Linked DNA regions of Drosophila melanogaster. The protein of the gene in region 2 interacts with the protein of the main gene of each other region in a pairwise test. Each region holds a gene or a part of one and is shown on either strand. Other genes may lie near its edges. The genes, in order: GABPI, dati, CG6576 and CG14210.

The links.
Region 1: the proteins of dati (region 2) and GABPI interact in a two-hybrid assay, tested with the Drosophila melanogaster proteins (one large-scale study listed by BioGRID).
Region 3: the proteins of dati (region 2) and CG6576 interact in a two-hybrid assay, tested with the Drosophila melanogaster proteins (one large-scale study listed by BioGRID).
Region 4: the proteins of dati (region 2) and CG14210 interact in a two-hybrid assay, tested with the Drosophila melanogaster proteins (one large-scale study listed by BioGRID).

What each region holds. Positions count from the first base shown.
Region 1 is NT_033779.5:3,027,882-3,033,603, reverse strand, and holds GABPI (beta4GalNAcTB pilot), read right to left. Parts: upstream 3,066-5,722; 5' UTR 2,845-3,065; coding exon 2,657-2,844; exon of another isoform or gene 2,605-2,656; coding exon 1,711-2,604; intron 1,651-1,710; coding exon 1,470-1,650; 3' UTR 1,304-1,469; downstream 1-1,303. Other genes in the region: CG17258 (uncharacterized protein), read left to right, coding at 31-421, 473-709, 770-1,053, 1,118-1,268; CG17219 (uncharacterized protein), read right to left, coding at 3,209-3,619, 3,672-4,184; Sf3b2 (splicing factor 3b subunit 2), read left to right, coding at 4,517-4,540, 4,598-5,238, 5,296-5,722.
Region 2 is NC_004353.4:392,082-398,630, forward strand, and holds the start of dati (datilografo), read right to left. Parts: upstream 3,525-6,549; 5' UTR 1,781-3,524; intron 1,330-1,780; exon of another isoform or gene 1,182-1,329; intron 1-1,181.
Region 3 is NT_037436.4:8,753,434-8,758,386, forward strand, and holds CG6576 (uncharacterized protein), read left to right. Parts: upstream 1-2,555; 5' UTR 2,556-2,749; coding exon 2,750-3,553; 3' UTR 3,554-3,734; downstream 3,735-4,953. Other genes in the region: Fhos (formin homology 2 domain containing), read left to right, coding at 1,042-1,062.
Region 4 is NC_004354.4:19,613,143-19,617,903, forward strand, and holds CG14210 (uncharacterized protein), read left to right. Parts: upstream 1-3,053; 5' UTR 3,054-3,133; coding exon 3,134-3,264; intron 3,265-3,327; coding exon 3,328-3,619; 3' UTR 3,620-3,683; downstream 3,684-4,761. Other genes in the region: tyler, read left to right, coding at 1-165, 771-790; shawn, read left to right, coding at 833-1,001, 1,071-1,240, 1,300-1,809, 1,882-1,963, 2,042-2,274; Pstk (phosphoseryl tRNA kinase), read right to left, coding at 3,768-4,646.

The DNA.
Region 1 (5,722 bases), on a different chromosome or scaffold from region 2:
ATGTTTCTAATACTGTTTTCTTTCTTCCAGACTCAAAGTGCAGCAGGACATCATTGACTTACAGCGCATCAAGCTGGAGCGCCAAGAGCGACTTATTATGCAGCTTAAGCTGTCTAAGCTCAGTGACGAGGCCAAGGAGGCCCGCGAGGATCTGAAACAGGAACTCAAAACGGTCATCCGGTGCGGGGATCCTAAGGCGAAAGCCAAGGCGAAGTGCTTGCAGCTGATCGGCAACCTGCGCGATGCGGATGACGAGGAGATGGACCGGCTGCAGGGCAAAGCCCTGCTCCAGCCACGGTTTCTGCAGCACATGCAGGAGCGGGCCACAGAGCGGAGCATGCGTCATGAGCAGGCTCGTCAGCGGAGGGCTCAGGCAGAAGCCGAAAGGGAGGCAGCCAAGCTAGCTCTAGAGGAGGCTAAGGTTTGTTACTACATTCATTTAAAGCTTTAATCTACCTGAACTTGTAAACAGCGCCAGGAGGACGAGGAAGCCAAACGGCTCAGAATGGAGGTCCTTAAAGAGAAGCGTCGCCAGGAGAAAATGGCAAAGGTGCTAAAGGAGCGCGAGCGTCAACGTTTTATTGAGAACCAGCGGAAGGCCGTGGAGTTCAGTCGCAAACTTTTAAAACGGACGGGCATGGAAGGCTTCAAACGACTGCTGGAGCGGAAACGTGAGAATCTTGTTAAGAGCGAGGAATTCCGTTGCCGGGTAAGCTTTCATATGGGTGTAGCTTTTCCTCACTAACATCCTTCCATATTCCAATGGCAGTTGATCACAAAGAACTCCTTCAGTTCGTGGCACAGCTATTCGACATACAGACAGCGCGAGAAGATCATCAAGGCGGAGATCTGTTGGCACAACATCCTCAAGCGGCGCGCTCTGTATGCGTGGATTTTGTATGTGCAGAATGAAAAGAGCAAGATGCTAGTGGCGATCGATTGGCATGCACTGCGCTCCATGGAACACTGGTTTGCGCGGTGGCACAAGTATTCCACGCACTGCCGGATGATTGAAGACAGCAAGACTCGGCAGGCCATCTCGCACCATGAGTGGTAGGTCCCTGTAAAATAGAATTCACTGTATTATGTATCATTTTCAATTGAACCAATTTAATAGGCACCTGAAATGGAAGGTCCTGGACTGCTGGCGACGCTTGCCGCAAATCCTGAAGATCGAGAAGGAAACGGAGGAGCGACGCCAGCGGTGGCGCATGAAAATATGGGAGCTCTTGCCTGACTACAAACCGAGAGAGGACAGCTTGTGGTAGCTACTAGATAGAACATTATTACTCTTGTTCGTTGTGCGTTTTGAGTTACTTAATTATATTTATTTTAAATCAATTTTAAATTGCAATAAAGACTTCAAAGCGGTACGACTAAGTACGACTACCGAGAACAGCGTTAAGATTTGAAATACTTTAGTATCTAAGCGACATGCTTGTGCTTTTTGCTTTTTGGTGTGTGAGTAGTCACTTTAAGATGGCTCGCCAGTTGCTCCAGATTCTGTTGCGTCCTGCGGCGTTGGAGGTGCGCTTGTATTCGTGCAAGGTGGATCCCTTCCACCACAAGTAAGCCTGTCTAGCGAGTATAAAGGCTATGTAGGAAGAAATGAGCAGAGCGTAGCAAGCCACCACAAAGGAGATTCCGAGGCTAGAAACAGAGTGTGCATAAGAAACGTTAATTGGAAATAGAAACAAAGTATCTACTCACTCGAAGCCTTCGAACACCTCACTGCAGTCGTCGGGCAAAAGAACTGGATAACCAAGCGGTCGCACCACCATAAACGGATGGCAAATGGAAGTGAGGGTCAAGTTTGCGCCGAGCAGCAGAGCGATCTCCGACAGGGCCAGTCCAACAATGTACCACACGTAGTTCCGCTCGCCAATGCAGCAGTTTAGCCAGTAGCTGTGATGATCGCGCCTCTTCACGCAGGTTCCGCAGACGGGACAGTGGTATGCCCGCCTTGGAGTAACCTTCCGGCAGATCTCGCAGATATTGGGCTGACCGTGCATCAAGCCAGATCGCTCAGCAGTGTCCATATCCCCCACCTCGTCATCATCCAAACTCAGCACACTCTCCATCTGGAGTGTGGTCTGGGCCTCTGCCTGCTCCTCGCCACTCGAAGCCTCGGCGATCCCAGGCAGCTCATCCTTGGGCGTGGTTCCGTATTGAGCAGAAACAAGATTCAAGGGCGACAGTGCCTTGGCGGAATAGAGGCAGTACAAAGCGGCACAGGAGAAGAACATTAACGCGTAGTTCTCCTCCGGAGCCAGCTCCAGCAGAGGAACCTGAAACTCAAATATGATGATCATGTAGAACACCGAGAAGACCAGCCAGCTCAAAAAGAAGTTTGTCCGCGTGGCGGTCCGCTTAGCCAGCTCCATGCCCCAGATGGTGAAGCCCACCAGCGTGAGCATCAGCACTATGGCGGTCTTTGAGTTCAGAGTGGCCAATCCCAGCATGAGGGGGACAATGAAGGCGGGAGCAACGGCTGCGGGCGAGATTCGCTTGGCTCCTCCGCGCCATGGCAAGCGCAGTCTATCCTGGAAGGCGATGAGCATGCCGTCGATGTTCCTTCGATCAATGGCTCGGCAGGTGACAAGTCTGTGGTAAATTTAATTTTAATTGTAGACGGCCTTTCATTTATGTATCCTACCTTGTGCAAACTAAGTCGAAGTCCACGCAGTTACAACAGCATCCTAGGATGTGGGATCGCTCTCGACTGTCCTCAGCCACGTACTCGCAGCAGCAGAGACTCCCGTTCTCCTTACTCTTGGACTCCTCAGCCTCTGATCTCCAGGCTGCAGAAAGAAAATTGGAGGTGCCGGCTGTCATCAAGAACATCGATTTGGACAGGAAATGGCGCGGCGAACGTTTTTTAATGAGTTCCGAGCAGCGTGTACGGAAACAGTTTAGATTAGATTAGTGCACGCCCTACTGGCCGAGTGGAGAAATGTTTCAAAAGTAATTATCAGATCCGGGTGGGTCCATTTTAATTGTTTTATTGGAGTACAACGAATTTGCTTACAATTTCTCCGGAATAACGACAACTACAACAACACAGCTGACGAACGTCCCTCCCTTACAGGGTGCCCCGTGTAAAGTGGGCTGCCAACTTGTTTTATGCTACCGCTATGTTTTGAACTTAGATCTCTTATCATTATTACAAAGTTTAAGAATTGTGTTATAAATAATTCCAAAATATATTTTATTTAAATTTCAATTGCAAGATTCCTCTTTTTAAGTTTTCGTCTGCCTGCCAAACACTCTCACTTTGGAAAACATTTCCCAGCCTAATGTTCTCTGAAAACTGTTCCAGGCCGCCACCAACTCCAAAATAATGAGATTTTGCGGCAACCAAAATGACTCCATCGGATTTTAAGCGACCAGCAAAGGTATCCAAGAGCTTTTGCTGATTTGCAATATTGTATATAGTCTCAGAGGTAAGTATTAGATCGTATTTCGCCACATCCCTTGATAGTTCAGCAAAATGAGACCAATCTCCAGAATATAAGGTTGTACTGTTGTCTAAAAATTTCAGCTTTTCATCTTCAGATAAAGAGTCGTCCAAATTTAGCAGGATATTTGGATATGTTATGTATTCCAGCACATCTTTGTTCTGAAAATATATGATTGCAACCAAACTATTTCAAGACTTATTGTTTGCTTACGTAGTCCTGAAAATCCACCCGTGCGCCGTGTTTCATAGCATATATACCCAGCAATCCGCAGCCACATCCCAAATCTAGGACTCTTTTCTCCTTCCAGAATGAGTCCTCGTACTTTTCGGATAGATATAGTAGAAGATCTTCAGTGCATTCCCATATTTTAGCACCGCCCTCGTAGACACCGGAAATCAGATCTGAATGATTTTCCTCAGACTTCCTGAGATCCAGGTTTACCAAGTGGGATTGCTCCTTTAAATCCTCCAGCAGAAACCCGGCCACAAGATGTTTTATCGTCATCTTTCCCACCTCCATTTCCTTGGCGTTAAGCTCATAGAAATCCATTGCCGAAATTAGGTTATCCAGTGGTTGTACTTTCTCCGAATTGTACCAATCTATATCCTTTGTGATACCCGACTCACGTTCTTCTGAATTTTCCTGCTTGCTAAAAATATCATTTTTAACGGCCTCTGGATCTTCCGAGGATTCCGCCTTCACATCAAAATTAAATTTGAACATGCTTAGAAGGTAGGGTGTTGAACTGTTTTGATTTTAGCAGATACTGCTTGTTAAATATCGTACTGAAATGGACAAATTAGCATTGTTAAACTGGTAATCTATGAAATATTTTAATATTTACCTCCTTAAATCAGCTGTCGGCAAAAACCACGCTTTTCGTACTAAGATCGCCCTGTCCTTTGCGTTGCCAGCTTGATTTAGGGTCTCGCATTTTCATATCGAATATATCGATATGTCTCGGTGGTACAAAAATATCTTGTCGCGCATCACTAGAATTGTGGTTTATAAAAAAATTTCGGCTCGGTTTGGGTTTTTAAAGATTAATTTAATTTATGGCGGACCAGTTGAACAACGAGGTGAGTTTGCTGCGAAACCCAATCGGCAAGACATCTATTGAATGCCAATCCTTCCAGCCCGGCCAACCCACGCCGCTCATGTCCATTCGCTTCGACCAGCAGCAGCACGAAAGTGCGGCGGCCAATGGAAATGAGAACGGCAATGGTAATGCCAATGGCGACGGCGATGCCTCCGAAGATGCTGTTGATGCCGAAAAAACGCCCGGAGAACTGGTCCTGCCCAAGGCCTTGGAGGACGTTCTGGCTTTGAAGGATCAAAGGGCAGCCGAGTTCACGGTGGACGCCGATTCGCAGGGTGGCAGTGGGGGTGCTACCCAGGACGGCGACGAAGCGGATGTGGGCGAGGACAGCGAGGAGGATGCGGATAACCAGGTGAACGGGAGTGCCAGCCAAAAGACCGGCAAGCAGAGCAAGGCGGAGCGTAACAAAAAGAAGAAGAAGCGAAAGAAGCAGAACAGGAAGATACGCCACCAGATTGAGTTCGCACGGCAGCAGCAGTTGGCCCAAGCGGAGGAGAACGAACCGGAGGCCAAGGACTCGGAGACAAAAGCCCATGGCAGCGAGGACGAACAGGTTGCCGAAAAGGAAAAGAAGGACAAACGCAAAGAGAGTCGCAGCAAGCGCAGGAAGGATCGTAGTGATGAGAAAGATACGGACAAAAAGGCTGGCGAGGCCAATGATGAAAATGTGACCATTGAGTAAGTCATAGCAGCTCGTTCCGAGGAACCACACTAATAAACTCTTATCCCTTTCAGATATGTGCCCGAAAAGATAACCATTGCCGATTTGGCGCCAATGTACCGCCAGTTTTATCGTGTGTTCGAAATCTTCAAGCTGGAAAACAAACCAAAGCCTGTGGAGAAGGACAAATCTTCGCACGATTCTGAGTCCCATCCCAGGGACAAAAAGGCTACAGACAAACAGCTCGAGGACGAGGACGATGACGGCGATGATGACGAAGAGCGCAAGGAAGACAAGGAGAAGCTGTCCAAGCGGAAACTTAAGAAACTGACCCGTTTGAGTGTGGCAGAACTGAAACAACTGGTCTCTCGACCTGACGTAGTGGAGATGCACGATGTCACAGCGAGAGATCCCAAACTACTGGTTCAACTGAAAGCCTATAGGAACACAGTACAAGTGCCGCGGCATTGGTGCTTCAAGCGAAAATATCTGCAGGGCAAA
Region 2 (6,549 bases):
ACGTTTTAACAAAAGTTTTGAAATTTTAGTCTGAATTCAACAAACTTTTTTTCTTTTCTTACTCGGGTTTTTTATTGTCAATGAGCAGAAATGTTTGCAAAATTCCAAAAGTAACCCTGCCAATTACTGACAAAAATTTTTTTGAAAAATGTTTATGCTCTTTAAAATGAATGCTAGATGATGAAAATTGGCTTACTAGATTGTTTATTATAACTTACATAATTTTGAAAATCGTGGTTTTTAAGAAAATGTTGTTTAAAGTTTTCGGACAAGAAAAGACTGCTTTGGCGCCAGTTACATCCGGAAGGCTTTCTCCAAAAATTTCTTTAGCTTTTTTGAAGCAGTATACCTATCAATTAAATCATTAAGAAATAACAACATTTCTCTAGTGCCTCAGGATGATTTCCTCTAAAATAATGGATATAAAATTGGAGTGCTTTTTTTTTAAGCCAAACCATGGAAGTAAAACCATGAAGTAAAAAAGTGTATAATGATCTAACTTTTTTTTACACGTATTCTTTCGATTAATAAATCAAATTAAGAATTATTAAATTACTTCCGTATTTTGTATATATTAAAAACGTGAGATACGCATACGTCTCTTAAGATATATATTTAAAATATATATATAAACACCATAGCTAATATATCGGTCATTCTGTTTAAAAAAGTCAGTCTACCAAAATTGCTTTTGTCCCAGAATTTAACGTTTCTGATTCAATTTATAGACAATTTGATTTAAAAGCAATCGAAGGTAGAGCCTTAATATATAAGAATACGGTTTCTTGTATAAGCCAGTTTCTGGACGACTTAAGTTACCAAGCCACATATATGTTGGCATCGGTTTTGAAAAATTAATATATTTCCTCGTAGACGTAGTTGCGTCGAAATAAATAAAACACACAGGTCAATTAGGAAACTTATTCTTGAATATCCTAGCGTCGCACATGGACACTTATAAATTGTTTGTTATTATTGGGGATGGAACATAGTCACCAAACTGTTTTAATCACTTTTTAAAGAAAAGAAACTAAAGTTCAAAGCATAAAAAAACCAAAATTTGTGAATAAAACCAATAATAAGCAATGTGTCGCGTATGCAAGTGTTCGAAAAGGAGCGAAATGTTATCTTGCTGCCATTTGTATAATTGGTGGTTTGGTGCGTATTTCGGTTGCTTTTACCTCTTTACGAGGTTTTTTTTGTTGGAAGAATACAGTGACTGTCTATATGCACGGCCTCGATTACGGTTACGATTACGGCTGAGACTTGGAAGTCGCTCCCAGCAAACAACTACAGATAACCTGGCGGCCCGCGAGTCATAGAAAAACTAATTTGGCCGCCGCCTCGGACAAGTATAAATATGACTGTTGCTGGGGGTTCAGACACGTCTCGTTTAGAAATAGAACTTGCACGCAAAGTGGAGTCGGCCTGAAGTCGAGTCATCGCTGTCGCCATCGTCGCTGGCGCAAAGTAAGCCAAACGTCTTCGTTTCAGGACTCAGCTCTAAGGCCTTCGGCAAAATATCTTCGTCCCGTCTTCGGGTTTACCAAGAAACAGCATCTTTGCTCAGCGGATAATAATGCTCTCTTTGGAATGGCTCTTAGTTGCCAAATCGTGCCACCTCGGAATAACGGTCAAGCCGGAAAACGGAAACTTTGTTCTTGTTACACGTATGTATATATATGCACGCATATGTTTATATATGTGTGTATATAAGGTATGATCGCCATTGTGACTGTAGGGATTCGATATTAACATGGAAGTTAGGATCAATAATTACCTTGAAAACAAACATATTCTCAGGCGATTACAGTACGATGACGGTTACGTCGCAGGTGATGGGCGGCATACCAATCAGGTAATGGTCCTATATTAGAAAATCCTATATCCTATTGACTTTTTACGTGCGACGGCTTTGCAGTTGAATGTCCGTGGGCTTAATATATACTTGAATTAGGTTTTTGATGTATTATTAAAAGTCATTTAAACTTAAGGCCGGAATAAGGCACACGTTACGGTGTCGCGATATATTGGTTATAAAATTCATTTATCGCCTATTTATCCCAAAACATGGAGTTAGATTGATGCAGTTTCTATTTGAATTTGTTTACATATAAATTTAAAAATTTTGTAAACGTTTGAATCACAATTTGTTACCCGATACGATCTACTATTTTGATGCCCAGATTTGTATTGTTCGGAAATACCTACATATGTACGCATTGTGACGTCTCATAATTTAATATACATATAAAAATATAATATGATATATTCCAATTTTAAAATAATTCGAGGTTCACATTTGTAACTTAAACGAATATTTAGTTTAAAATATCGTCCATTATATTACCGAAGAATGATATTTTGATTATTTATAGTAGCAATATCTTTAATTTTATATACTATTTTACGTACTGTTTACTATAATAACCACTATCTCTTCACGCTTAATCATGTATCTATACTATTATTTTTTGAGTATTGCTCTTATCATTAAAAAATAATAAGCGACTTGGTGTATAGTTACGTATGGTTATGCTAGGGCTAGCTGTAGGGTATGTGATAGTTCAAACTGTCTGTTCCGGTGTCAGTGTGTCTTCGGTAATCATTCAGGGAGTGTATTTTGTAGCTGTAGAAAATCTAAATGTTTTATTATATACTGTTTAAATTAGTATTAAGAGACTATATATGCAATTTAAATGACTATATGGTTATGTACACATTTGTGTAAATCATATAAATCATATTTTCGATTAGTAGCCTAGTTTGGACTTAAATCTTCACGTAATCATATTTTCGATTAGTAGCCTAGTTTGGACTTAAATCTTCACGTAATCGTTACTAAAACATACAGTTTTATATTGTATTAAATTTATAATTCTTTTGCGCATTCATTAATGTCGTTTTGTACTTTTGATTTCAATTTTGTTGTAAATTATATTTTTCATTTGTCTAAAAAGTAATTTTTAAATGGGTTTTCTCGTTGGTCTGTTTTTATGTTAGGTTATATTGGTTTAGATGTTATTTTTCGGATTGGTGATGAAGTTAATGTTGATGTGGTTCTTCCTTTTTGGTAATAGGTGTAGAAAACTTAGTTAATTAATGCATCTGTTCTATTGCGTTTAAAACTGAAAGATGGCTGGGTTGAGTTAGGTTTGTCGATTTGATCGTTTAGTTACGGATTCTTCTTTATTGTTAAAAACGATTTTTGGTCTATTGTGTTTGTTAAAATTATGATGATCTGAAATTAAATTAAAAGAAATATTGTTTTCATATTTTCATCTGAATTCAGTAAAACACAAATGAAATCGTCCAAGTAAGCATTGCCAAGCAATTCATTTGTGCTTTGTTTTTTTTTTTTTATCAAACAACTCTATTATTTGGTTAGTTTTTAGTTTTTAGCACAGTCCACAATCATTTTATATCTGGTTTAAGCACATTTGATAAAATAAAAATGATCCGCGAGGTCAGGACGATCCGCAGTCGGTTGTTCTACTCCATGGAATATTGCGTTTCTGAATGCCGCATCCAAAATAATTGAGAATAAAAATCATCGCCTCGGCATACGTTGCTTCCCAAGCTGGAGACTGGGATGGAGACAGCCGGGTGCCGAATTGGGGAAATAGCTGGCAGCAGCGGTGTGCTTATTATAAGATAAAAATTGTGTGTTAAACAAAAAGTGACAGCAGCGGGAGCGACAACAACAGCGAAAGCGGCGGATGTGGATTCAGATCCTTGCACTCGGACAGGGAACCTGTGCCAGCGCCGGCGCTGTTGGTAACTGCAGTTGCAGTGGCAGTTGTTTCAGCATTTGCAGTTGCAGCTCTACACTCAAAAAAAAATTGAATAAAAAAATTTCAATAAAGCACCAATTCCTGAATTACAATTCTTAAGCTCGGAGAGCTTATTGATATTCTTATTGCTCCTCAATTACACCTTGTAGGGATGACCTGATGAGGCCTCTAGTCTCTGTCTAGCCCTGCCCGTTCCCTTCTCCGTCTAAGGCGCGGGATATGGCTTTCTGGTCTTTTTTTCAAGTGTATTAAGCTGCATGCTATTGTTGCCCAGCGCCCATTCACTCCACGTGAGTCTGTGTGCGTACAGTGTACAACATATATGTATGTCTGGCCCATGCCGCTTTCATATGCGTTTTCGTTGCATCATCCCCTACGCCGCCCTCTCCAACTGATAACTCTCAAACAAGCAGGCGGAGGGGGGCTGTTGCACTCGTCGTTGGTCGTCGGGTCCCGTCAGCGCTGCACTTCCGCAGTAACATCCCTTATGGCAGCGTTGCAGCGTGATGACCACTGCAACCACCCAGCAAACCGACCTCCTCCCTGCTGTCTTGCTGCAACCACAGCACAGTCCGTTCTGGTCGGTGGAATGCAAATTTGTGCATGATTTAATGTCTACTTCAAGGCCTCTCTGGCACCTCCTGGCCCTGTTACTACCCCTGCCCAGCTCCTGTTTCTGTCCACGTTCAGCCATCTCCCTTCCGCCGCCGGACAGCCAGCCAACTGTTTCTGTCTAGCTCGAGTTTTGCGCTGCACTTGTGCATGTATGTGCGATATGGCTGCATTTCTGGTCTTCGTCACGGTGCGGCAGTATGCATTTTAATGCTTATGTGAAGTTCTTATGTACAAACACGTACACAATCAAGTGGGCGGCTCGCAAAGCACATAGGCATCCGGAAAACACTATTGAACCCTACCTTTTCAAAATGAATGTGCAGCCGTGTATGCTGCAGCATATACATATGTACATATTTAGGTAACGTTAGCCGCCACCTCTGCTGCTCAATCGATTTTGGTCTGTGCTTTGGTCTGTGGGAATCGACCTCTATCGATTTTCTTTAATATTATATTTATTTATGTACACACATACATGCATGCATTCGCAACAATTCGTGGCGTGGAAAAAAGCGGATACCTAGGGTATATGTATGTACATAAATATCTTCTTGCAAATTTGAATATTGTTTTAAAAGTATACACATGCTCAGTAAAAAAAAATTACAGGAAACCCACTATTTTTTTGTTGAAAATTATGTGCTATTCCCATAGATATATTTTACAGCAGTCGTACATGATTGATAAATACCTTATAGTATAGTACATAGTATCTTTTGGTATTTGGCTGCTATCTTGGATAGTGATCGAAGAGGACTTTGACGCCTTTTGGTGAGATAGTAGACAAGGCTACCATGAAGTCGCATTCACATCATCTCATAAAAGAGATCATAAACCCGAAATTCTATCAAGTCAGTCTAAATACAACTAGTCAATCCGCATACATATCTACATAATCTAAGGTTCAATCGGTCGACAGCTACGCATGAGCTTTAGGCAAAACCTAGGGTCCCGCGGTCTTAAAAATGGGCTTACAGTGTACAGCTAAATACAAGGACAGACCGAGCATACCAAATGTTCAAACTCACTTGACTCAATTGGTTAAGCTGAGAACTTGTGCTCAGAAAACGTGTTGTTAGGTTGGCTCAATTACGCACGTCAAACCCGGTCACGCTTACCTCAAACTGTCCTGATAGTACGGAAACACTTTTAGCTTTCCTTTTAGCATCCTAACTCTCAAGCAAATATAAAAATGATGGCTAGTTTTTCAAGATGTCCAGCAGTGCAATGCAAAAGAGATAAGCCGACCTTCGGACCACTAATACTTTTCTTTCTTGGCATAGTCTAACTTAGCAGTACTAAGTTATCTTAATAAAAGTAGCGGTCTCGAGCCAAAAGTTTTTAGGGTATAATATAATGCAGGCCTATGTATCTTTACTTTAGAAACTGTATACTGAGTGTACCAAATGCACTTTAGCATATGTATGTGTTGCATGTTGAGTGTGTGTTTTGTGTGCACATGCATGGTAAACTCATAATTGGTGCGGGTTCGGTATTTGTGGGCGAACGGTCATAAGGCAGCACTTCCACTCCATGACTGTGGCGAGCCTGCACGAATAATACTTATAAATTAATAAGCATATTCACATTGCGCGCATCCTTCCCATCTCTATTCTTGCCTATGTACGTATGCCAATTAGGGCTTATACATGTATATGGTACAAATATAGATCCGAATGGTTTTAAATCTCTTGCAATCGTTAAAACGAAATATCCATTCACTAATCAAGCAGACAAAATGTCCATCCAAATCGATCAAGAAGCCCGCTTTTCTGTCGTTCTGCTTATAAATGCTAGTCTGAAAGGCGGTTCAAGCTGTGGTAGTGACGTCGCATCAATAGAACACGAAGGCGGTTAGTCAATTTGAAATTTTTTAGAAAATAATATGAAATAATATATTATATAAATAAAAAAAGAATTCCCCTTCACCGGACGGTGTGTAAAATCAGTAGAAAAGTTGGTTGTAATTGAATACAGAAATAACTTGAAAGATAAACATTTCTTACACATATACTCTGAAAAGCTCCAAATATCAATCAAGCCCATAGTTTAAATATTTGTATTATTATAAACAGTACGCAACAACAAGATTATCCCTGTTTACTCATTAAGTAAAGTCCTCCCACCCAGCATTTTAAAC
Region 3 (4,953 bases), on a different chromosome or scaffold from region 2:
GGAGAGCCGGCAGAATCTCCGAGAGCTTCATCTCCGATCGAATCTCTCGCTTGCCGAAAATACACGCATACTCAAAGCGAGAGCGCCGGAGATTTTCCTCCACTCAGCTTTTCACGCAATTCGGTGCGAGGGAAAATCTCGGCACAAAAATATTTTCACTGCGGCCAGACAGTTTTCCTTTGACAACGCGCCGAGTCGCACATGATTTTCCTCTCGGCCGGATTCGCTGTGGTCCAACAAAAAGAACCGAGAACTAAAAACAAAAATCGCGACACAATCTTTCAGCGAGTGTGTGAATGTTGCTAAATTTATAAATAACAGCTTAAGTTGTGCTGCTCCCAAAGTAAATTGAAATAAAAGCAAAAGTGATACGCGTCCGTCGTCGTGAAACGGAAAACGCAGGCGATGGAAAATGGGAAAATAGGAAAAAATAAGAAAAATAAGAAAAATATCAACGCATAAATAAAGCGCGAGCCTCGCGTCCGATTCTGTCGCATTCGCCGGCTGCATTCCCAAATAGATCGGGGCGCTATAGTCTATATCTGCTCGTATGCCCTATAGGCATCGACAGTATATATCCCAAACCTGCCCGGTGCGTGCCGGTGGATTATGTAAAGTGACACACGGCCGATCCCGATACCGATCTCGGAGTATCGCCCAGCGCAAATAAAAGCAAAGGAAATAATAGTTTACTTAGCAGAAAAGAAATAAATACAATAAAATAAAATTGAATAAAATAGGGGAATGCAGAGAGAGTGTCGTAGAAATTTGTCGCACGCGCGCGATTTCAGTAAGTGCATCTAATTTATTTTGCATCTATTGCAATTGAGAGTCGGCATCCGGCAGATACGTTTTCGTAATTGTCGTCAGCGGTTCGAGTTCCTCCGTTTCGATCTCGCGCGAGTGTTTGCCAGATTGGATTACCAAACCCAGGCCATACCAAAATAAATTATACACCAATTTTGAAAGGGCGATAAACATACATTGTGACCGAATTTTGATCCGATCTGCGATCGAGGATCGCTTGCCAAGAGCAACGTAATGTCGTCCTACCGCAGTTATGTAAGTACTAGTTAATGCAGCGCCAACTATCCGTATCTGTATCTGCATAATACCTACTCGTACTATATAGTGTGTATCTCGATCTTTGTATCTTCGCTCTGTGCCTTTTTGCAATTCTTCGCATCCACGGATTTTGTTTATTTCTAATTTGTTGCCTTACCCCACACACAAGAGTATTTCGCAGATACATACGTATACGTTTTATATGGCAGATAAAATGTATCTGAATGTTCGCTCTCGATGTGGTGTGGGCTCCAGATCCATTGATAAACAATTTAGATACAAATTTGCTCATTGTCTGGTTTTTTGGTTGGGATTTGTGTCTAGTTGATTGTTCTAATTTCCTATCCACACAAATAGCACAAATTATGGCCGAGGTGTGGCTACTGAATGAACGAATTGTTGTGTTTGAATAGCAAACCAATGCATGAATAAATGGCTTTTACTTTGGCAAAGCAGGTTAAGTTCCGAATTTTAAACCTATTTAACTTGATTTATGTTAGTATTTGCGTATATGCACAGTTGTCAAAGGAATTAATTTTGAGTTATTTGACATACTTTATGGCAGATTCATTATTGATACTGACCAATGACTGACAGTTCCCAAGTAAACATTTTGTGTTATTTATTGAACTTATCATCATATTTATTTATATTATTAACCCGTTCGACATCATGTGATACTTGTGAACTTTTATATAAAAAGTGCATTATTTCTATATCTATCCTATAATATAAATACACTTAATTTCGGTTGTCATTCCCAAACTTCCAAATCGCTTTCTACTAATCCCCTTTATGTTCAACTCATTATATCCTTTTGTTCCCAGGCATCCAGTTTATGACTTTAGCCTGACTTTTGACTCATTGAGCATAAATCAATTAAATATTTTTCGGGTCTTAGAATCTAATAAACTGATCAATTTATGGGCGGCAAACAACAAGTTTCCACCCCATCCCACGCACATCTACCACTTCATCTTCTCCCGAGTCATTTCTCCAATTATATATAGAATGTTTCTAAAAATGTTGGGAGTAAAGCAAAATGATTTCTGTTTCGTTCACGTTGACGCAGTCTCTTTTTTCCTCATTGGAGTTGGTACTTTGTGTAGGATTTTTATGGCCAGAAGGAAGTTGTAAATATTTATGACAAGCATAAAGTTGAAAGTTCTCCGGTGAGAGCACGCACCACCTAATTAATTAACAAAGTGTGAATACTCATGCAATTTGTTTGTGAGGGGAGAAAGTAGGGGAACGGTAATGGAGAAACAATAAAGTTGCAAATATAACTAAAGCTTTTAACTTCATATTCAAAAAAAATAAGTATATATTATCATATAACTAAATTTATATTCATAATGTATTAGCGAAAGCGGTAATGATTAAACATTGTTTCGATTATTGATTTCATTAGAAATATCTCTACTCGTCACACACAATGCGATCACAATCAGTTTTCATTTGAATTATTCATCAAAACAGATCAAAATTTGTTGTAGTGTAGCACAAAGGAAGGCGGTGATAGGCGCTTCTCAAATAGGCTTCGAGATAAGGATTTATGAATCAAGCTATCTGAGTCCGAGATTATCCACGCACACTCACCCGTCCACCCAACTGCCACCCAAGCCCCCCACAACACTCGAACACAGACACAAGTCAAGGACATTTTTTGATAAAAAGATAAAAAATGACACGGCGTCGACGTCCACGATGTAAGGTGAATCCCTCGATAGCGCTGAGAAAGAAGAAACAGGAGACTGCACCCAGTGCAGAAAAGGTAGAGCCACAACGTCCACCGCCCTTGCCGGATCCGCCCAGCGAAGAGCCACCGGAAGTCGTCAGCACTTCGAGCGTAGAATCTGAAATCGAATCGGATTACAAACTCTTCCCGGAACTCTACGATCGCCAGCCGTCGATGCCCACGTTTGCTGATCTTTTTGGTCAGCCCTCTTATGAATCAGTGTTGCAGGAGCCCGAGGTGGCATCTACCTCCTCCTCAACGAACACAAATGCCGCGGGAATACGTAGTACAGACGATGGGAAATTCACTAATATTCCGGCCACGATGCTGTCAGATCAATTTGGGATCATTGGGCTGCTGGCCGCCATGAGGACTACGCAAACGGATCCGGGCGCCACGCAGCTGGTCTTTGGTGAGGATCTAACCACCTACGGACTAGATTTGGCTGCCCAGGGAGACATTTATGTGCATTTCAATGGGCCTCTAACCCGCGAACCACCTGACAGAAATTCCATGGACTGCGCCCTTGAGATGGGAATGCGTGCCATGCGTGATTCGATTATCAATGAACCACCGAAGGCTCCGTGTTGGGATCCATTTGAGCCAGAGACCCAAGATCTGGGACTTGTGGGCAGTCTTGAACCGGATGAGTTTACGAAATCCGATCCAGATACGGAAACGGATCCACCGCCAACTACTGATTTGACTGAAGATCCGGAAACGGATCGAGATGATAATCAGTATAGATAACACATTTGGAATCGGCGCCAAGGATAAAAAAGAAAGACTAGTCCCAAATAGAATAGCAATTTGGCAGTTGGTTAGATCTTTGAATACTTGGTAAAATTGTTGATCTTCGTGAATTGGTAGCCCTTCTGTATAAGAACTTGTTTGGCTTTAAATATAGAATTGGCTGAGGAGTAAAAACGGGAATAATTATTTGTTACGAAAAAAAGTGCGATTTAGTTATTTAAAATAAGGTTCGATTTAGTACATATATGTAAATATCGAAAAAAATTAATAAACATTCGGAAAATATCGAAAATGAATAAGCTCGGAATTGATTATAACTCATAAATTGGTTATAATCACTATAATTTTCAGATTAACTAATTTAATTTGTTTGGAAATTTATGTTTGAACGACTTTCTGGGGTTGAATATTTCATTATCCTTTTAAGCGCCGATCTCCACATAGTTGAGTTTCCCGAAACGCATTTTCGACACTTTCGTCAGAGCAAACTACAATAGAAAACGTATTTAAAAATAAATCATTTGTCTGGCAAGCGAATATTCAGTCGCCACTTCGAATCATCTGGGGTCACAGTCTAAATACTTTGTGAGTGGATGGCTTTCCTGGTCGTTCTTAATGGGCTGTGGCTACTGACAGACAGGCGCATTATAGCGCATCCTGCTCCTGATCTGCAGACTCCGAGATTCTGCAATCTCCTAATTGAGACCGCATAATAATGCTGTCAGAAGTGCAGCACTCCGCTGGAATCGGCGGTGAACAAAGTACACATGGCGAAGTCATTCCAGAGAAGATCCATAGGCCCATCCACATCCACACCATCACGATCCTCCACTCTTTTTCTCCTCCGGCTGAGTGTCTCCGTTTGCTTGTTTTGCACATTGTTGGCTATTTGTGTGTTTGGCATTCCATTTCACTGAGCGAAAACAATTAGCCGAGACTGTCTGTCTTTCTTTCTTCCTCACTCCCTCTCGCTCGCTCGCCAATTCTTCACATTGGGCGGGCGCCTGGAAATGTAATAATATTATTTTTTATTCCCGGATAGTTGTCATTCGCCGGGATGGGAGCCACTTGGGAAGAGCCCCCTATTTGAAGTGATTTACATCGAGAAATTCCTGAAAAGTATTTTCATGGGCGAATTCCACTACAGTCATGGTAGTTCATATAGGGCTAAGCTAAGTGGGATTCGATTAAGTTTCATCAATGAATACACAATAATTTATAATTTAGTTTAGCACATTTGCTGTAAGTATTGGGTTCAACAGCATTTTATCTCGTCATTAAATGTAATTTGCAATAATTAACCCAAAACGTTTGAGTTTGCCAAAAATCTGAAAACTGGCAACACGAATTTTGCAATTTTAAATGGGTGTCTGATCCTCAAAGATGTAGTGCACAAA
Region 4 (4,761 bases), on a different chromosome or scaffold from region 2:
TCTCGCGAATGCGTCAAATTTACAGGCTGCAGGGAGTGCGGGGCCTCTATGTCGGGGTGATGCCGCGCATGCTACGTGTGGTGCCCGCCTGTGCCATCATGATCTCCACCTTCGAATACAGCAAGTCGTTCTTCTTCCACTACAATCTGGATCTCCAGGAGGCAGGTACGTACTATGTGAAATGTCAATGATGAAGCAAGGTACATAAATGCGAGCACTTCAGTTGAGCGCATTCAATTGAATCAATTGAGTCCTAACTATGTAGTTCCCTACGCAACGCTTATTTGGTTTATATTTCGTTGACTAAACTATCACTATTTCTTGTAAATCATTTGTATTTCTATGGCTTTATTTAACAAACTAAAGTTTACTAATTAACGTAACGTTAGTATGTGCAACTTAAAAATATCTTACATTTCATGCGAAGGCTAAAGATAGTTGCAAATTGAGTAAAAAGAATATGATGGTAAATATACTTTTGAATTCAAGCGAACAACAAGAACGATTTTCGATAGCACCGCGATAGCATTTCCGTTCCGACTTCACTGTCGATAGCGCCCAGCGGCAACAGCTGATCGTCGTGGAATGGAATGGAAATGGTACAACTCGGATGAGCACTGAGCACGGTGTTTTCTTTTGGGATCCGTAAATTATTTCACAATGATCGGAGAGCTTGACTAATAGCACAGCTCTGAACATCGTCAACAAACACGCCGTAGCACACGATTCGCCTTCTCATCTCATCTCACATCACCGTTTGCCGCCACCAGCTTACCGGCGCTCCCAGTGAAGCAACCGCCAATCGCGTGGAAGAGGAGCAAGTGCATCTGTCATGGCTACGAGGGAGGCCTGCGGCCAGTTTGCTGCTGCCAGTGCGGCAATGGCGGCTGCTTCCAGTCAAAATCCGTCGAAGGCCACGATGACGGACCCCCGTTTTCGGATCCGACCCCTGCAGCAAGTGGCATCCGCCTGTACCGGCGCCATGGTGACGGCCTGCTTTAGTATGTTGCCCGCCACACAGCGTCGAATGGCGTAGTGTCAGTGCTTGACTGATAGGTTTACCATTGCAGTGACCCCTCTGGATGTGATCAAGACCCGCTTGCAGGCACAGCAGCAGGCGCTGCTCTCAAACAAGTGTTTCCTCTACTGCAACGGCCTCATGGACCACATCTGCCCCTGCGGCCCGGACACGCCCAACCCAGCAGCCGCCAAGCCCGCTCCCCGTTTTTCTGGCACCATTGTAAGTGGTAAGCGTTGGGAAAACCGGGACACTTAATACTTAACCCAGCCTCTCTCCAGGACGCATTCATCAAAATCAGCCGCACTGAGGGCATCGGCTCCCTGTGGTCGGGGCTCAGCCCAACGCTAATCTCGGCCCTGCCCTCGACCATCATATACTTCGTGGCTTATGAGCAGTTCAAGGCCCGTTTCACCGATATCCACTACAAATACACGCGACGCCCGGATACCATTGCCCACGACATTCCACACCCGATTCCATTTCTGGTGCCGCTGCTGGCCGGCGTGTCGGGCCGCATTCTGGCCGTAACCTGTGTAAGTCCCGTCGAGCTAATCCGCACCAAGATGCAATCGCAGCGCATGACGCACGCCGAGATGTTTGGCACCATTCGCCAAGTGGTGCAGTCGCAGGGCGTGCTGGGCTTGTGGCGCGGTCTGCCGCCAACCATCCTGCGCGACGTGCCCTTCTCCGGCATCTACTGGACCTGCTACGAGTACCTCAAGAGCTCCTTTGGCGTTGTGGAGCCAACGTTTAGCTTCAGCTTTGCGGCGGGAGCGATATCCGGATCGGTAAGACTAAGACAACTGCGCTACAAATCAATTGTGTCGACTGTCGGTAACCCCTCATGTTTCCCCTTCCAGGTGGCCGCCACCATCACCACGCCCTTCGATGTGGTGAAAACGCACGAGCAGATCGAATTCGGCGAGAAGTTCATATTCTCAGGTAGGCCCAATGTGGTTCAGCTTGCTGCAACCAACTCCCGTAGCAGCATTGACAATGGTTCGGTTTGCATTACGGCAGATAATCCACCCAAGCAAGTGGCCACCAAGTCGGTGGCGATGCGCCTGGCCAGCATTTACCGCATGGGCGGTGTGCCCGCCATTTTCTCTGGACTGGGGCCCCGACTCTTCAAGGTAGCGCCCGCATGTGCGATAATGATTTCGTCCTTCGAGTACGGCAAGTCATTCTTCTATCACTACAACATCGACCAGCACAATCGGAGCAATCAGGCGACAAAGGGGCCCGGCTCCTGAACGCGCTCCCAATGCGGTGACCACAGCATGTCGACGTGAATCTTTGTACATATGTAGATTAATGCCAAAGTTGCCAGGAAATCGGTGGGCAGGTGGGAAATCGTCTGCTGCTGGGTTTGGCGAGCCCCATTCGAAATTGTTAAATTGTAGTGAAATAAAATTCTTGTTTTTCTTGGTTCGAAAACAAACATGAGCTTACTTATCAACTTTGCTTTTGAGCTTCGAATTCTAATAATCTGTATTTGATTTCAACAAATTTACGACGCACATTAAACAATATTGTGTACTTTGTTCCTAGTTTAACGAAATATTTAATTTTTGCTATTGGAAAATCAAAACGATGTTGTTACAATAAAATCGCAAAATAAGCAATGTAACTGTTTGTTGGAGAAAATAATAATTCCTATTAAAACCGAAATAGGGAACATGTGAAAAGATAATACTATCTATAAGTTTACACATTTCGTTTCTGTGTATGCCGTAGAATTTACCTTCGACTCACAAGATAAGATGTAGTTTTACACATCTTTATAGTCAAGTGGCAAGGGTAGATAGGTTGGGGTAAGGACGATTAGAGTGTTAAACAAATGTTTTCCTAGTCATAGAAAATACATATATTTGAAATCATAAAAGACGAGCTTTTATCTTCGGTTAGCAACACTCGTGTGCACCAAAGCATTTGAAACGTTTATGAAATGGCGCCCAATGACTTGTAATCGAAAGCAACACCCCGATCACCGATGGCTTTCACAAACATATGTTGCGTGCTATCGATAGACGGTGGAAACAACACGTGCACTCGTGTTTTGTATTTGTGTTGTTTGCATTTGATTTCATATTAGACTAAACCGAACGCAAAATGAGTGAATCCGCACCGGAAACTGTGCCAGCCAAGAAGCCGGCAAAGGCCAAGAAGGCGGCAAAGCCGGAGAACAGCATACCACGCGGCCAGCCCAAGTCGAACCGGCCGTGGAAGACGCCCAAGCAGAAGTAAGTGGTGTTTCTCCATTGTGCATTGTGCATTGTCATCTAATCAATTGGCTTCGCCTGCAGATTTAGCAAGATTAAGAAGACCGTTAACCGACTGTCCTTCGAAAAGAAGACGGCCCTGCGCGACGAGCTGCGCTACATCAAGGAGCGCTCCAAGGAGATCAAGGACAAGCGCAAGGAGGATGCCGTCCAAAAGCACCAGCGCCGCGTGGAGAATGCCGAGCGCCGGCTGGCGAACGAGCGCCGCTCGGAGGTCGTCCAGGTCATCAAGAATCCCGCCAAGCTGAAGCGCATGAAGAAGAAACAGATGCGCATGATCGAGAAGCGGGACGTCAGCCAGGTGAAGGTGGTCTGAGGTGGCTCCATTAGATTAACTTGTATTTTTTGATAAATAAATCTAGTTTTAATGCCAAGAAAGCGTTTTGTAACACATATGTATGTATGTATTTAGGTCGCTACGTACACAATTGTGTGGCATACAAACGAATTTAGCTTATCTTAGCCTAGTTTAACAAATTTACATAGTAATCCAAGGCGTCGCCCTCAACATCGCCGTCTATCTGTTTGCCGCCGATCTCTGTGCGGAATTTGGTCAATATATCCTTGCGCCTACTGTTCAGTGTTTGGCCCGCCAAGCGCTTGTCCTCCCCTTGTCTCAGTCCATCGAGCAACGCCCCAATGCGCGTCCGCAGGAGCAAATCCAGGCGGTGCACCAGAGACTGATCTTGTCGTAGTCCTCTTGCTACCGCCGGTGGCAAGTCCAACGTCGTCTCCATTGCGGGCAAATCGAGCAGAGATGCAATAAAAGCAAGCAACGCAGATCCCGTGGTATCCATATCGAGGCCATTAAGTGTGAGACTGTTGCGTTCCCAGGCTTCCGAAGTGTCTGGCACCTCTAGACGCTCGTTCATCTGCCGCACCACGTCCACCGGCACTCGAGTGGCATCGCTCCTAAGTGAGTTTGCCTGCAGACAGGAGTCCAGCGAACTGGCCATGTATATCTGTCCGAAGATGCAGCCAGAGTCTCGACACAGCTGGTAGAGCTTGTAGCGCATGCTGCGGTAATAGAAGTTATCGTCGCACAGGATCAGATGCCTTCCGCTGTTGTAGTCGCCGCTGGAGGAAATGCGGCGGACTTGAGGCGGCCAATCGGTGTCTTCTTGAATGGCGGAAATGAGTTTTTCAATTACTTTAAAAATGCGGCCGCGCTGCTCCTTGTAGGCCAGGTCGGCCGAGGGGGTAGCGTCGAGGAAGTCGTCGTAGCACAGATGAACGATGTGGCGGACGCGGAGGGCAGCCTGTTGACCCAGCAGCCAGGAGCACAGCGAGGATTTGCCGGCTGCTGGCAGGCCGATAAGTGCAACAAGACAAATGCGCCGCATCGCGTGTGGTTGGTTGGTTCGTTTTTTTTTTTTTTTTGTTTTGGGGTTGTTTGTAGGAAGAGTACGTGTGGTCGCCGACTGCGGGTGTGGAGGGCGGTCTGGACTCTGCGATTAG